Linked DNA regions of Saccharomyces cerevisiae S288C. The gene in region 2 interacts genetically with the main gene of each other region. Each region holds a gene or a part of one and is shown on either strand. Other genes may lie near its edges.

Region 1 (4,866 bases), on a different chromosome or scaffold from region 2:
ACGAGCCCAAATAATACTGGGGTGTTTTGACAATCCTAATATAAACAGTCTTCGAGAAGTAACCAGTTGTCAAAACGGATTATCAGCTTGATTCAAGGAATGTTAACTGTCCTATATCATATAAAATATGAATCATACTAAATGGTGGAAGCACGGATCTTGGATCTAAACTAATTGTTCAGGCATTTATATGTTTGGGTAGTTTGGCTAAGGGAGGCCGGGTTTTATCTCATGTTGTTCGTTTTGTTATAGGATTGTTTCATATGTATTTTATGAACGTTTAGGATAATGTATTGTCAGGCTGACGTATCTCATTTTGAGATACAATAATTTAACCTATTTTATGTTAAATATTACACAAGATGATAAATATGTCAACTAAAAACTTTAACGCCGAGCTTGGCCATTACAATATAGAGCACATGCTATGATCAAATGAATTAGATGAATACAAGCCAAGAAAGCATTTTTTTAATTACACTTCATGCTTTTGTTGGAATGAAACTGTAAAATACCATCTGTTTAGTAGTATTTGTGTTACCAGTATACCGTCACATGCGGTGTAACGTGAGGACATAAAAAAGTCATCAAAATTAATGTCCCCACGTTACACTGTATATGACAGTATATACTACTGACATGAATACTAGTCGATAGTTAATACATGATTCTTATTACAACATGATGATTACAGTCTCGTCTTGGTCTGTTGTTTGACCCTACTATTTTATGCTATTTTTTGTATCTGATTTGAATTCAAGGCAATTGTTGTAATTCCATTCTTGGCATAACCCTGTGTAGATTCTACAGATAAGCTGCTTTTTTCTTTGAGTGGTGCCCCCGTTGTTTATTACCCGTCAGTATCATAACATTTGAGCATCTCACATGGTTACGAATGTAAATATGAATCAAAGAAGGTGCAAAATCAAAAAAAATCGAAAGATTTGACATGCCTATTGAAAAGGGAAAGTTGTATATCTATCAATTGTTAATTAGTTACTTGGTCATCTCCATTACCAGCTGAGGTGCTTAGTCGACAACCGCATTAAACATGAAAGTGGGTATTATAATGGGTTCTGTGAGGGCAAAGAGGGTATGCCCAGAAATTGCAGCATACGTAAAACGTACAATTGAAAATAGCGAAGAATTAATAGACCAGAAGCTGAAAATACAAGTAGTAGATTTACAACAGATTGCTCTTCCCTTATATGAAGATGATGACGAACTGATCCCTGCGCAAATAAAGAGCGTGGATGAGTATGCAGACAGCAAAACTCGATCGTGGAGTCGCATCGTAAATGCATTAGATATTATTGTATTCGTTACACCTCAATATAATTGGGGGTATCCAGCAGCCTTAAAAAATGCAATTGATCGTCTTTACCATGAATGGCACGGAAAACCTGCCCTGGTGGTAAGCTACGGCGGTCATGGCGGTAGTAAGTGTAATGACCAACTTCAAGAGGTACTACATGGTTTGAAGATGAATGTTATAGGTGGAGTGGCGGTGAAAATACCGGTAGGTACGATACCGTTACCCGAGGACATTGTACCACAACTCAGCGTGCACAATGAAGAGATCCTGCAATTACTCGCATCGTGCATCGAAACAACGAGGAATAAATAAACCATAAAATTTAACTGTAGTCGCAATAAAAGATGAAAAGCTAACACAATTATCATAGGACACTGTAATCCAGACTTTAATTAGTATTAAGTATTGAGTACAAAGTACAAAGTATTATACTAACGGTAGTTTGGGCTCTTCGATTACCCATACACTTTTAATGGACTAATTTCATCAAGTTTCATTCGAAAATTTTCTTAAAATATATATATGCGTAGTGGTATAGTATTCATATTTCATGAACTTATTTCATAAAAAAAGATAAAGCAAACCTAATATTTGGATCGGCGCTCGAAATTATTCTCAGTATTCTTCAGCATTAGACATCTTTAACATATCAATCTTTAAAAGGTTTCTTCTTCTTCTGTAGCTCGGAATATAAGCATTCATATATGACCATGTTGTAACGCGATCGAACCAAGCAACTTCTTCTTGTGCAAATTTCCTAGCAATACCAGGCACACCTCCTTGACGATCAAATGCAATTCTTTCAGTCTCTTGTTCAAAATCTTTTTGACATAAAGCCAGGTATTTTTCCTGTTGTTCAGGTTGCAGTTGAAGATACTGCTGGTAGGTGATTTCTTTGTAATAGACAGTCTTCATTTGAATATGTTCGAGACTTTTTCTCTTAATCTCTATGAATATTTTCTGTCTTGAAGCTGCCGTCTTCATAGAATGTTGTTCTATTATCCACCTCGAACATGGCCTTTTTATACGTTTTTACATTAAACATCCCCTTCATATTAGTTTGTTCTCGACTTAATTCTACTCATGCTTCTGACATTTTTTCATGCCAAGACCGGCCCTGAAAAAGGGTCCGGATATACGGATAGCGCCACACATTCAATTAGGGGAAGTATTATTTGATACATTGTCAGCACACAGCGATTTAACCCATTATTTGGCATGACAAGCAAGCTATTCGACAGTGAAAAATGCACAGAACATTCAAAATTATACTTATAATATGACTCTTTTCTTTTATTGCAGTTGGTATTATATACATATATATATATATATATATATGTATATGTTCCCCGAGACAATGGTTTTATTTCCAAAAAAAGTGTAAGTAAGTTATTTTCTGTGTATAAAAAAATAAAAGAAGCCAGATGAAGTGCCAGGTGGCGTACCAGGACTTCAGCTTTCTTTAGTTTGCATAATGAAAGTATCACTTACAGCTCCCTTGAAGGATTAGACGCTATTAACCCCGATGAAAACGCATCAACAAAACCTTTAACACAGTACTTATTTGGTGCAATACATACTCACACAAACACCTGTAGAAAATCCCCTTATATGAAAATCCCTTTTTTTTCTTGGCAAGTATTTCTGATAAAATGCGGACAACATTACCTGCTTAGCCGCCTGCCACAGAAAATAAGTAGGCTTCTCTGTAAAATGGAATAATAGGCTAGAGGTCAAAAACCTCCTCTTCAGTCATATCTATGTTTTTAAGGGTCTAGGGTCCAATTTGATGGAAAAGAACAAATGGTCGAGCATGTTAATTAATATTTGTTGCTCTGTTTGAAGAGTATATTATAAGACGAGAGGTTCTTTGAGGGAGCTTATCTTACCTTTTCTTGATTTGAAACAATTTCATTAAATGTAAACAATTATCAACTAGAAGCAAATATAAAGCCAGAAGGAAGAATTTGCTATGAACATTAAGACTTTGTGTCATCCAGAATATAAAAGAATCTCCGTTGAATCGTTATTGAATCCGGTAGAGGAGACAATAGACTGCGAAAAACCTCACTCTCAAACAAAAATCAATACTGCTAAACCCATTAGTGCATCTTTGTATGTCACAACGAATAATACTGCTGTTGTTCAGCACAATGTCCAAAAGAGGAAAGGCGTCACCAGGAGATGTCCACAGTGTGCGGTGATAAAAACTTCTCCGCAATGGAGAGAGGGTCCTGATGGAGAGGTGACATTGTGTAATGCCTGTGGATTATTTTATAGAAAAATATTTTTGGTTTTTGGCAAGGATCTGGCAAAACGGTACTTTAACGAAATAAAAGGTGTGAGCGTCAAACGAAAAGTTCCAAAGAGCCTCTATGGAGTTACAAGAACGCGTTAAGAGAATTTATTTCTGCTCGGAATGTTATATACTTATGTCAAAGCAGTGATTATACATTTATCGACTTTAAACAGTTGATAACGAACATTATGTGTTATTCGAAAGTCAAAGTGCCATACAAAACAAGTGGTTTCTCAGTTCTTGCAATTTTTCTTTATCAGCGTAGTCCCAGAAAAAAAAATCATCACTGGAAATGTAAGATGAATTCAAGTATCAAGTGCCGTTGGTATTATAGTTTATCAATTAATACGTAAATATATATATATATATATATATATATATATATGACTATAGTGGCATACTTCTCAATGGACTGTTGCTTCTATCATTTTATACATGCGTTCAACTTTGAAGATTATCACAAAAACCTCAAACTTTTCAATTAATCTGCCCCGGTCATTTAAGTTAGCTCTTTTAGGACTCTCATGTTTTCAAAAAATAGATTGAAAAGAGCATTGGTGGCCCTACTTTCAATCCATTGATCATGATTCTTCGAGCTATCGCTAAAATATTCCACCGGATTCAGAGTTCTTTCCTTTACTGATATCGTAAGAAGACTCGCCTTCGTTTCCGTTACCAGACCTGACAAAAAACTCATCCCATACAGATCCCGAAGTAACCTGGAAAAGGATATCCATGATATCTTGATTATTGGTATACGACTGGCAATTCAATGCAGAAGACGTATTTGTAGAAGCACTTTCATTTATCACTTGATTACCTTCGCTTACATCTAAAGTATTAAACTGGGAAACATTGCTGTGTTTTTCCAGTTCGGTAAAAAATTCATCTAGAGGTATATCAAAAGGTGCTTTTTCTTCAAAATTGGTTCTATTAAAAACCTTGTTATCAAAAGTACCGTCGTCAAAACCAAGTACGTTCGTTTTTTTATCATAACTTGACATGCGGTTTGCCTGAGAGGTTAGGGGATTTGAATCCGAAAATATCCCTTTGGCATCATTTATTTGCATAAATTTTAACTTTATTACAACTGATGATAAAATTTTGTAACTCGTGTAACAGGTTTTCGCAGATTCGCAAAAACCTATCAGATTCTTCAGTACTATCAACACTTTTTCAGTGTACTCTGACACTTTTTCTTGACAATCATTTATGTTGTTTTTTGAGTAAAAATTTACGTAAAGGTAAGTCA
Region 2 (4,820 bases):
GACTATGGCAAATTCGGGCAGTGTCTCGCTTCCCACTTCGAATTCAATAGACAAAGAGTTCGAACATTCGAAATCTCAAACTACCAGCGATCCAAGTGTAGCAGAGCATTCTACGTTTAACCAAACGTTTGTACATGAAACTAAATATCGGCCTACTCATAAGACAGTCATAACAGAAACTGTCACGAAGTATTCTACAGTCTTAATAAATGTCTGTAAACCAACATATTAAGAAATCTGGAGTACAATTTCTTTATAGCATATAAATATCAAATATATAGTCATTTTTAATACATGGAAAGCATAATAAAAAAACAAGGGGAGTTTTACTGATATCATTGGGATATATAAAACAAAATAGTAATATTATGCAGCCATCACAATTTTGAACAAGTAGCACATTATTCATTGAATAAATGCTAAAAAAATCTCCGCGACGGGGAATTGAACCCCGATCTGGCACGCGACAAGCGCCCATTCTGACCATTAAACTATCACGGAATATTAGATGTGATATTGTTGTATCTCAAAATGCGATACGTCAATATGACAATACGTCATCCTAAACGTCCGTAAAACACATATGAAACAACCTTATAACAAAACGAACAACATGAGATAAAACCCGGCCTCCCCTAGCTGAACTAACCAAACGTATAAATGCCTGAACAATTAGTTTAGATCCAAGATTCCGCGCTTTCACCATTTAGTATGATTCATATTCTATACAATATATAAGATAAGTAACATCCCGTGAATTAAGCTGATAATCCGTTTTGACAGCTCGTTACTTCCCTAAGACTGTTAATAATAATAAGATTGTCAAGACACCCCGGTATTACTCGAGCCCGTAATACAACAATTTTTTCATTTCACTTATCCTTTGTATTTTATGTACAGTAAAATCTGTCATCTGAAATAAGGACCTTGTTGAAGAAAGACTTTGTTGTGTCGGAATGTTGGAATAAAAATCCACTATTTTCTATCAACTAATAGTTATACTATCAATATATTATCATATACGTTGTTAAGATGATGACATAACTTATGAGAAGCTGTCATCGAGGTTAGAGGAAGCTGAAATACAAAAATTGATAATGTAATAGGATAACGAAACATATAAAACGGAATGAGGAACAATCGTAATATTAGTATGTAAAAATATAAATTCCACTTTGAGGATTCCTATGTCCTCGAGGAGAACTTTCAGTATATTCTGTATACATAATATTATAAGCATTTATCAACAATGGAACCCCCAACAATTATCTCAAAATTCACCCATTTCTCAAATATTATATAGCCTTTACTAACAACGGAATTCCAACAATTATCTAATTATTCATTAAATGGCCAGGAAAGTCCTGGCAGAGGGGTACTTTCATCAGTAAAGGAATAATTGTCCCAGTACTCCCCCGCATCATAAACCCACTGGGTTGCATTCTCCAAAGTTGGCACTAGATGAGTTGCTATTAATTCCTCCGTGCAGCCATTTATAGCGGACACATTTAAAACATAGTCACCTAACATTGGGTTAGTTGTATAAGATAGATAGCTAATATCAGGCGTGGCATTCCCCCAAATAATCAATAAGTTTGCTGATTCATTACTCATCAAAGTAGTTATACTGGGATAGTTCATGTCAATGTCCATTTCTTTTCAGAAAAACAGACTGTTAAATAAAACAGGCCTTAAACTTCAATTTTTGAACTTTTTTCTACTTTCTGCCTTTAGCTCTGTTGTCTCATTAAAATAGTACATAATTTGTGCATAGCTACTTGTAAGAAGCAGTCGAGTAAATGTTTGGAAGCTGTTTGCAACCACATTTTAAATGATATCCTTTATGCGATAATCTCATCTACCGTAAAATACGAGCTTCTATGGCCAAGTTGGTAAGGCGCCACACTAGTAATGTGGAGATCATCGGTTCAAATCCGATTGGAAGCAATTTTTTTTCTTTGAAAGAGAATCTTTTTCAAATACGGAAGAATGAAGAAGTATCGACAATGCAAATTACCTTAATGATCTCGTCTAAAAAAATTTTGAAGAGGAATTATTCTGATTTACACGCAAAAAGTGGCAATAATCTACTCTTTAATTTGGTATCATTGTTTGTCTTAGTACTTAAATTGTGCCTCTGGAACTGATCAAATTCCTTTCTCCATCACATGAGTACGAGGAGGGGTGTTAAGGAATTAAAGACAGTCTACTAAAACTATTTCCCTAAGCATGCTTAAATCATTAAAATCCAGAAGACTAATCTTAAAACGATTAGTAACACTGCTGCTCTCTTTATTCTTTTCTTATCTCATTTTCTCTGCCAGTCGGAATGTTACATCATCCAATAAATTAAACAACCATGCAAGCGAGAGGACAGCTGTTGAATCATCTGCATTCAATTGGATTGAAAAACGACAACACCAAGTGAGATCCGAAAACTTAATGAACAGATTATCTGCCTACTTTTTGCCCTTTTTGAGTAGAAGTTCTCACAAAGAACGTGTATTGTTGAGGCAATTAGGAAATAATGAAATAGCGAAGAGTGACAAGTGCCGTTACATTTTTGAAGTACTATACAAGATTGATCCCGACTGGGACAATGCGCAAACTGCAAAATTTTATAATGTTGATGGTGTAGATAACACGTTGGCCTCATTGTTAGGGGAAAGATTAAGATCTTATGATTATTGCTTTTTATCTGGTCAATTAGATCCTACTGCAATATTTGCAAATTCAACCGTAAATCCTCATGATTTGCAAAACAGAATGTTTCCATTTCTGAAGAAAATTAACGAGGAATCCAAAACTGTAATGTGGCCTATTATCACAGACATGACAACTGGAGAGGCAGTTCCGGCACCCGAGGTTGATATGGAATCATCAAACTTTAATGGTAACTTTTGGTCCAACTGGAATAGGTTGAGCAAAGGAAGAGGTTTTGTTTTAACTATTGCTGAAAAGGATGTTCCTTTATTTTTGAAACAGTTGAAAGTGATGGAATTTTCAAAAAACGAATTACCATTCCAAATAGTATCCACGGGAAATGAACTATCAGCAGAGTCTATTGCTAAAATTTCTGAGACCGCTAAAGAAACGGAACAAAGGGTCTACTTAGTAGACTGCTCGACAGTGCTTGACACTAATTTTGCTAATACATACATTTCTTTTTTTCAGAATAAATGGGTCGCCACTTTGTTCAACACATTTGAAGAATACATTTTGTTGGATGCAGACGTAGTACCGTTTGTAGGGTCTGATTACTTTTTCGACTCTCCTTCTTACAGGGAGAGCGGGATACTTTTGTTCAAGGATAGGGTTATGGAAAACGAGCAAACTTTCCAATACTGCATCGAAATGTTAAATGAAGTGGAACCCTCTGCACAAGAACGCAGATTTATTGGAAGTAGGTTAGTTTTTGATTCGTCATTACCGTTTTCTTCCGAAACCTCAGAAGAAGCATCTGTGTATTACAATTTTTTCAAAAAATTACGACTCCATCATGTTGATAGTGGTTTGGTTGTAGTCAATAAACTTGAGAAATTAAATGGATTGTTGATGTCTTTTATGTTAAATTTGGATGGAAAATTGCAGAGGTGTGTGTATGGTGACAAGGAAATATTCTGGTTGGGGCAATTATATGCTGGCCAGGATTATTCTATCAATCCCGTTGATGGCAGTATTATTGGACCTGTTAATGAAGAGCCTGAAAATGATGACGGACATAAAAGCGGGATGTACTACATTTGTTCTACGCAGATTGCACACAGTGACTCCAAAAATCGATTACTATGGGTAAACGGTGGACTGAAGACTTGTAAAATTTCGAACAGTGCTGAAGATGACTTTGGAAGAGAGCCAGAGTATTTTAAGAGTAGATATGGGGACATTTCAAAATTAAAAAGGATATATGATGCTTCGTTGAACGTAGAGGGACTAATCGTTCCTGACGTTTCTGTTCATCCATGGATGCAAATCAAGGAATGTTCTAATTATATGTATTGTGCATATGCTACGGGTGACGGACACACAAACTCTGAACTTGACGAAGGTCGTCTAATCACGTTTACTGAAAAGGAATTACGATATATCAATGATATTTCTCGAACCTGGAATGCTAATTGAGAAAAAAAAAAGTGAAAAGGAAATGAGAGTATTAATATTTATTAAGTATGGAGCATATATAATCCGAAAAATGATTATAGATTAATTTAGAATATGATTTGGGAATAAATTAACAATTAGTTTAAAGCAGAAGGCAGCCGGATGAGGAACAAGAACTGTTGAATAGTATTAGGTAATTTTGAATGTTTTCTAACGGAACGCTATTCACTGATTATACGCTTTGTTCGTTTGGATTATGAGATGTTTTGGACCGCCTCATTGATGGGATACACTTCTTTATACCATCAATCACAGAAGGCCAAATTTTTTTGATGTAGGTTAGGTAGAAGCCCACAAACATGGCGGCAATGTTAAAGCAAACGAAAACCCATTCAAAACCAAAATTTCTCCATCTGTGATGATAACTCATATTTTCTTGAGCAAGGAAGTCATCCCCAACAGTGTACATGCAGTAGGCGCAGACGGTGTATGTGTTATTGATGTGCAGTTTCCCACCAAATTCATCAATAAAGGGTTTCATAAACTGACCGCAGGTTTGACCCATTACAGGTTGGCTTGGTACCATTTCACTTGTCGAGCAGTTTACTTCTCTGTCATGGAGAAGTAAGCTTACGAAAGTTTCAATGAAATACGTGTATGGTGAAACCCTGTACATGAATGTCCAAAATCTTGGGAATAACGAGTATGGTTGCATAACG
Region 3 (5,611 bases), on a different chromosome or scaffold from region 2:
AGCTCTACTGCTGGGCAATTCCGATGTACTTTAGTCATATCGATGATATAAAGACTGTATTAATATTTGTCAGTTAAATAAAAAAAGTATTTCTTTGGAAAACGTTGAAAATGAGGTTCTATGATCTACTGCGGCAAGTTCATCTTCCAAGGAGAACATAGAATAAATTTGGTACTGGAACGTTGATTAACTCTTCATGAATTTTTTTTAATTAGGAACTTTCATAGTAGATTAGCCAACTATTCTTAATGGTTACTATATAAAAACAGAAAAGAGGGGCCGTTTCTTGTGATATAAATATTACCTGTAATTTTCATTATTATGGTTTAGTTATAGAAGTTCATCATTAAAAAACTATCAGTAAATTTTAATTAAAACTTTCGCGAGAAGAAGGTACATGATCATTTTGAATAAACAAAAAAAATGTTTCGACCTAGTATTCGATAAATAAACATTTATTTGCTGACAATTTTTAAGATTTCATCGTCTCAAAAAGATAATATAATTTATTGTGCACAATATTTTGGATTTCTCTATGAGCAACTCAACGATCTTAGAGAATAATACTATTGTACGTTGTATATAATAAACATTGATAGCATTAGCACTATACAATAGGAAATATTCGACTCTACTTCCGAGAATAATGAAACTGGTCTGATATAATATTTGGATCACCGAAAGCTGGCCAAGAGATTGCTTACTTCCAGTGATGTGGACGAGAAAACCGTGTGACACCGTCCGCTACTTTCTACTATTGTCAGTTGGTCGGTTATTTGTGCTGTGTCATGTATTATGTACCTGGTCGGAGATCTTATAGTATATTTTGAGTATTGCTATTTGGAGTCTTCATAACGGCTTCTATGAAAAAGATTCATTTGTCGATATAAATATCAAATAAATATCATTAGCTCTTAGAAATATTTGAAAAGTACATACTACTTTCCACGAATGTACAGATTTATTTATCAGGCATGCTGCTGATATCGTCACAGTAGTTCAGTAATAATCATCGCTCTTGAATAACGCAAAAAGTATATTCTTAAGCTCATCTGAATGATAAGCCTTTTTCACTTAACATTTGCTTAAAATTTTTAGCAATGTACTGATACTTTCTCCTAAATCAACTGTATTTTAATTCGTTCGGAAATCATGTTTATGTCAAAATTTACTAGCCATTCCAATAATGTATTTATTATTAAATATATATATACTTCAAGGTCTGATGGGGGTGCTGTAGCATTTGCGATGTAGCGATAGCAATTGAAAATAAAGTGGGCTCCTTGTAATAATGCGGCTGGTAAGGTTACATTGCCGTTGTGTTTCGAGGTTATAATAAAGACAGCTATATCATAAAACGAATAAAAAAATATGCGCATGTGAATGACACACGAAAGTAATCGGATTGACGTTGCTTATAACAGGTTGAAAATTAGAGATATCAAACCAAAAAAAGGAAGACAATATCATTGACAGAATTCAGTGTGGCGGTGGATTGATTTAGATTGACTCAAAATTTTCGACATTGTCTGGTTGACGATGCCTTGTTTAATTGCAAAAGGCCTTCGAATTTCATTTTATTTCTTGCATCCAACTGAAACCCACCATATTAAAGCATGACTTTTGCATGACTATTTTTCAGTCTTAAATGCTTCAAAGCCAACAGTATGTCAGTAATTAAGTCCAAACTATTTTCAACAAACGTACCGGTCTCGGCTCATTAATAGAACTTCCGTTCTTCTTTTTTCAATTTAAAACAACGTAGATATATATTTTCATTGTTATATACTCGAAATTAACGTAATTATATAGATCGTGAAAAGTTAAAAAAATCATTTGATTGGTAAATAAATAAGTGCATTATACTGTACGCACAACTAAATAAATAAGGCACACGCATAATTGACGTTTATGAGTTCGTTCGATTTTTTTAATATTCATAGGCTTTCTTGATAATGGCAACCACTTGTTCTTTGGTGAATTGAACTGGGTTAGTCAAATGGCAGGCATCATGCATGGCGTGTTCAGCCAAAATTTCAAAATCTTCGGTTTTAACACCTAATTCTTTCAAGTTTCTTGGAATGTTCATGGTTCTGTTTAAAACGTGCAAAGCCTTGATGGTTTCTTCTGGATCTTCTTGAGAAGCACCGAAATGCAAAGCAATTTCACCTAATCTCTTCTTGGCCTTTGGACATTGCATGTTGGCCTCTTGAACATGAGGCAACAAGACAGCGTTACAAACACCATGAGGCAAGTGGTAGAAACCACCAAGTTGATGAGCAAGGGCATGAACATAACCTAGAGAAGCATTGTTGAAAGCCATACCTGCCAAGTATTCAGCGTAACACATGTCAGTTCTGGCCTTCTTGTCTTTACCGTCTTTGTATGCAGCGACTAAGCTTTCATTGATCAAATCAATACCCTTCAAAGCACAGGCATCGGTGATTGGGTTAGAGGCGGTGGAAACATAAGCTTCGATACAGTGAGTCAAAGCATCTAGACCAGTAGCAGCAGTCAAAGCAGGTGGCAAACCAAACATGGTAGATGGATCGTTGACAGCAACAGCTGGAGTGACGTTGTTGTCAATGATAGCCATCTTGATTTTCTTTTCTTCATTAGAGATAATAGTGAATCTGGTCATTTCGGAAGCAGTACCAGCAGTAGTGTTGATGGCAAATAGTGGTAAAGCAGCCTTCTTAGATTGATTGACACCTTCATAGTCTCCGATTTCCCCACCGTTAGTAGCCAATAAAGCAATGGCCTTAGCATTGTCGTGAGCAGAACCACCACCAATGGAAACAACAATTTCAGAGTTTTGTTCCTTCAAAACCTTCAAACCAGCTGTGACATTGGCAATATTTGGGTTTGGTTGAGTTTTGTCATAGATAGCAACGTTTAAGTCACGTTCTTCCAACATCTTTTGGACTCTACCGGAGAGACCAATAGCTGCAATACCAGGATCAGTAACGATCAAAGCCTTTTTGTAATCCTTGTTTTTGATGTAATCAGCGGTTTCTTCTAAAGCACCTTCACCAAAGAAAGAGATTGGTGGAATGTAAAACCCAGTAACGGAAGACATTTTTCTTATTTGACTATTAGTTGTTGCAAATGTAAACTTGTTGTTGATGGTTGTTTTGCAATAGACAGAAGAAAAACGTTTGACTCCAGTCTTTAATAAACCAGAAATGCTAATAACCCTTTTATACATGTTGGTACGCTGCCCTTTTTTCCTGTTTGATAAAAGAATATATCCTAGTAGTGTGAGATATTTGAGGCAGCAAAATATCAATTGCTTTGTAGAGTTAACGGCATACGTGATCCCAAGCATCTGACATATTAAACACGTACCTCGTGATGCGCGAACTAAAAACTAGTTCTTTTTTTTTTTTTTCATAGCTAATCCACTGCGGTGATACTACAGCCATCATCACAAACACTGCTAACAGTTATAACCATGTCAACATCACACTACAAAAAATGGCCTCCTTGGAGAAAATAAAATGGAAGCTCATTGAAGGCCTCCGGGGATCCTTCTGAACACAAAACGCAATTTCAAATCAGCAGCCTCAATTATACTGGTTGCTTAACCGTGAAGGTTCATTTAAGTACTTCTACTTTTTACAAACGCTCGATAACCTTTCAAGTAGTGCGCATAACAGCTGATGCATTAGAAAAAAATTTTCACACGATAGAACTGTAACGCACTACGAAACTAAGCAATATGGCGTAAACACACAAAGACTAAGGGACTTCTTGATTGATTTCTATCAGCAGCGTTCTCCGAATTGTAAATAATAAGTACATTATTAGTGGGCCTTAGGCAACTCTTTGAAACGGAAATTCTTGTTTACATTTTTCATTTTCCCGAGACGAAGTTTTGATGAGCCACACAATACCGGTAAAGAAAGAAAGAAGTACCTGGAACTAAAACAGTGCTAATTCTTCTTTCCTTTACTTTAGGGGTGGGGACCATCGAAGTGGGGGGAGACAGCAAATCTCTCAATTGAGTAAAATATTCGCATGAGTGTTTGCAAATCCGCAGTGACAGGACAAAAGTAGCCCCAATAGTATTTATCGAATATGAGAAGAAAAAATCGACTGTTTATATTAGTTGTACTACTGGGAATTGTGTTAGTAGTATATTACTCTCAGTTGAATTCGTTAGATTTGGTAGAACCAGTTCAAAGTAGCAGCAGTGGCAATGGTGGCTGCTGGAGTTACTATGAAGGTCTTACGCCTGGGTGGTTGAATGACTTCTACGACGTAAATCAAATAACCCCGAATCCTGCAAAAGATGTGATTGAACTGGTTACGAGGATTAAGATTTTTTTTAATTGCTTGCAGCAGGTTGATGGGCATAATATTCAGCGTTTGAGGGATATTGAAAAGAAGCTCTTTCCGTATATTAACTTTGAAAAATTAGAAACTGATGAAAGTGCCTTCTGGCACACAACTACGAGATGGAATGGCGAGGTTTACCATGCGTCTATGTTGGAATTTGACCCCAAAAACCATCAATTCCTTCGTTCTAAGCCCATCAATTTCGATACAGGGCTATCTTTTTGGGAGAATTGGTTGCACACTGTGACTCAAAGTGGTTCGAAAGGCATAGTTATTAGTGCTTCTGACGTGCAGTTGAATGAAACCATACGCTTATTGAAAGTGTTGAGGTTCATCAAAAATGATTATCCTATACAGATTGTTCATAATGCAGATCTGAGTCAAGATTCCATGAAATCTATTATCAAATATGCGAGAAGTCTAGACACCGCTGAATATCCTGCTCAAGAATTATGGTTTTTAAATGTACATAGTCTGCTAAACCCGAAATATTCGAAAAAATTTACCACCTATTCCAACAAGTGGTTAGCATTGACCTTCTCATCCTTTGAAATTCCTATTCTAATGGACTCAGATACAGTGCCCTTTGTTTCAATAGAAAAATTTTATGAATTAGAGGAATTTCAAAAGACTGGAGTTCTATTCTTTAAAGATCGGGTAATATCAGATGATCTATTTGAATCCTCTGAATTAAAAATTCTAAGGGAAATTGTCTATGGGTGTATTGGGCTTGATTTAGAGGATGAATCCAAGATACATGAGCAAGTAGAGGATCCAGTGGTTGCACAGGTTCTGGAAAACATGTTTATAAAGAAATATAAACATCATTTGGAAAGCGGCCTGGTAATATTGCATAAAGGAAAGCATCTCTTCAGTATGCTTACTTCAATAGCTTTACAATTTTCTCCAATTGCAGAATATTTTCATGGTGATAAGGACTTTTTTTGGCTGGGCGAATTACTTTCGAACAATCGCTTTACGTTCCATCCTGTGGATGCATCAAACATTGGTCAGTTGGGCAATGTAGTTTCAAAAGAGAGTACCGGTGAGTTTTACCAGATTTGTTCTGTGCAACTATCTCATACAGACAGGGACGGGTCCTTGCTATGGCTAAACGGGGGCCTTAATATTTGTAAAAAAACTTCATGGGAATACGATTATGAGCATAGACAGAGACTAAATGATATGTTCCAAAATGCAGATGAATTACGTGAATATTATGCATCACCAGTAAAACTTGAAGGGATTATAATACCAGATACTAGTATAT

What was found. Genes that interact genetically often act in the same process or in processes that back each other up.
Region 1: mutations in YIL014C-A (region 2) and YLR012C together harm fitness more than expected from each alone (negative genetic interaction), as found in Saccharomyces cerevisiae (one large-scale study listed by BioGRID).
Region 3: mutations in YIL014C-A (region 2) and ADH4 together harm fitness more than expected from each alone (negative genetic interaction), as found in Saccharomyces cerevisiae (one large-scale study listed by BioGRID).

What each region holds. Positions count from the first base shown.
Region 1 is NC_001144.5:168,052-172,917, forward strand, and holds YLR012C (uncharacterized protein), read right to left. Parts: upstream 2,231-4,866; coding exon 1,931-2,230; downstream 1-1,930. Other genes in the region: LOT6 (flavin-dependent quinone reductase), read left to right, coding at 1,052-1,627; GAT3 (Gat3p), read left to right, coding at 3,288-3,713; PPR1 (Ppr1p), read right to left, coding at 4,217-4,866.
Region 2 is NC_001141.2:323,874-328,693, forward strand, and holds YIL014C-A (uncharacterized protein), read right to left. Parts: upstream 1,654-4,820; coding exon 1,339-1,653; downstream 1-1,338. Other genes in the region: aspartyl protease BAR1, read left to right, coding at 1-232; alpha-1,3-mannosyltransferase MNT3, read left to right, coding at 2,230-4,122; ATP-binding cassette multidrug transporter PDR11, read right to left, coding at 4,334-4,820.
Region 3 is NC_001139.9:12,627-18,237, reverse strand, and holds ADH4 (alcohol dehydrogenase ADH4), read right to left. Parts: upstream 3,080-5,611; coding exon 1,931-3,079; downstream 1-1,930. Other genes in the region: alpha-1,3-mannosyltransferase MNT2, read left to right, coding at 4,081-5,611. UniProt on the Saccharomyces cerevisiae protein: Alcohol dehydrogenase specific for ethanol. Acts mainyl as a mitochondrial formaldehyde dehydrogenase and has no effect on ethanol production. Shows drastically reduced activity towards primary alcohols from 4 carbon atoms upward.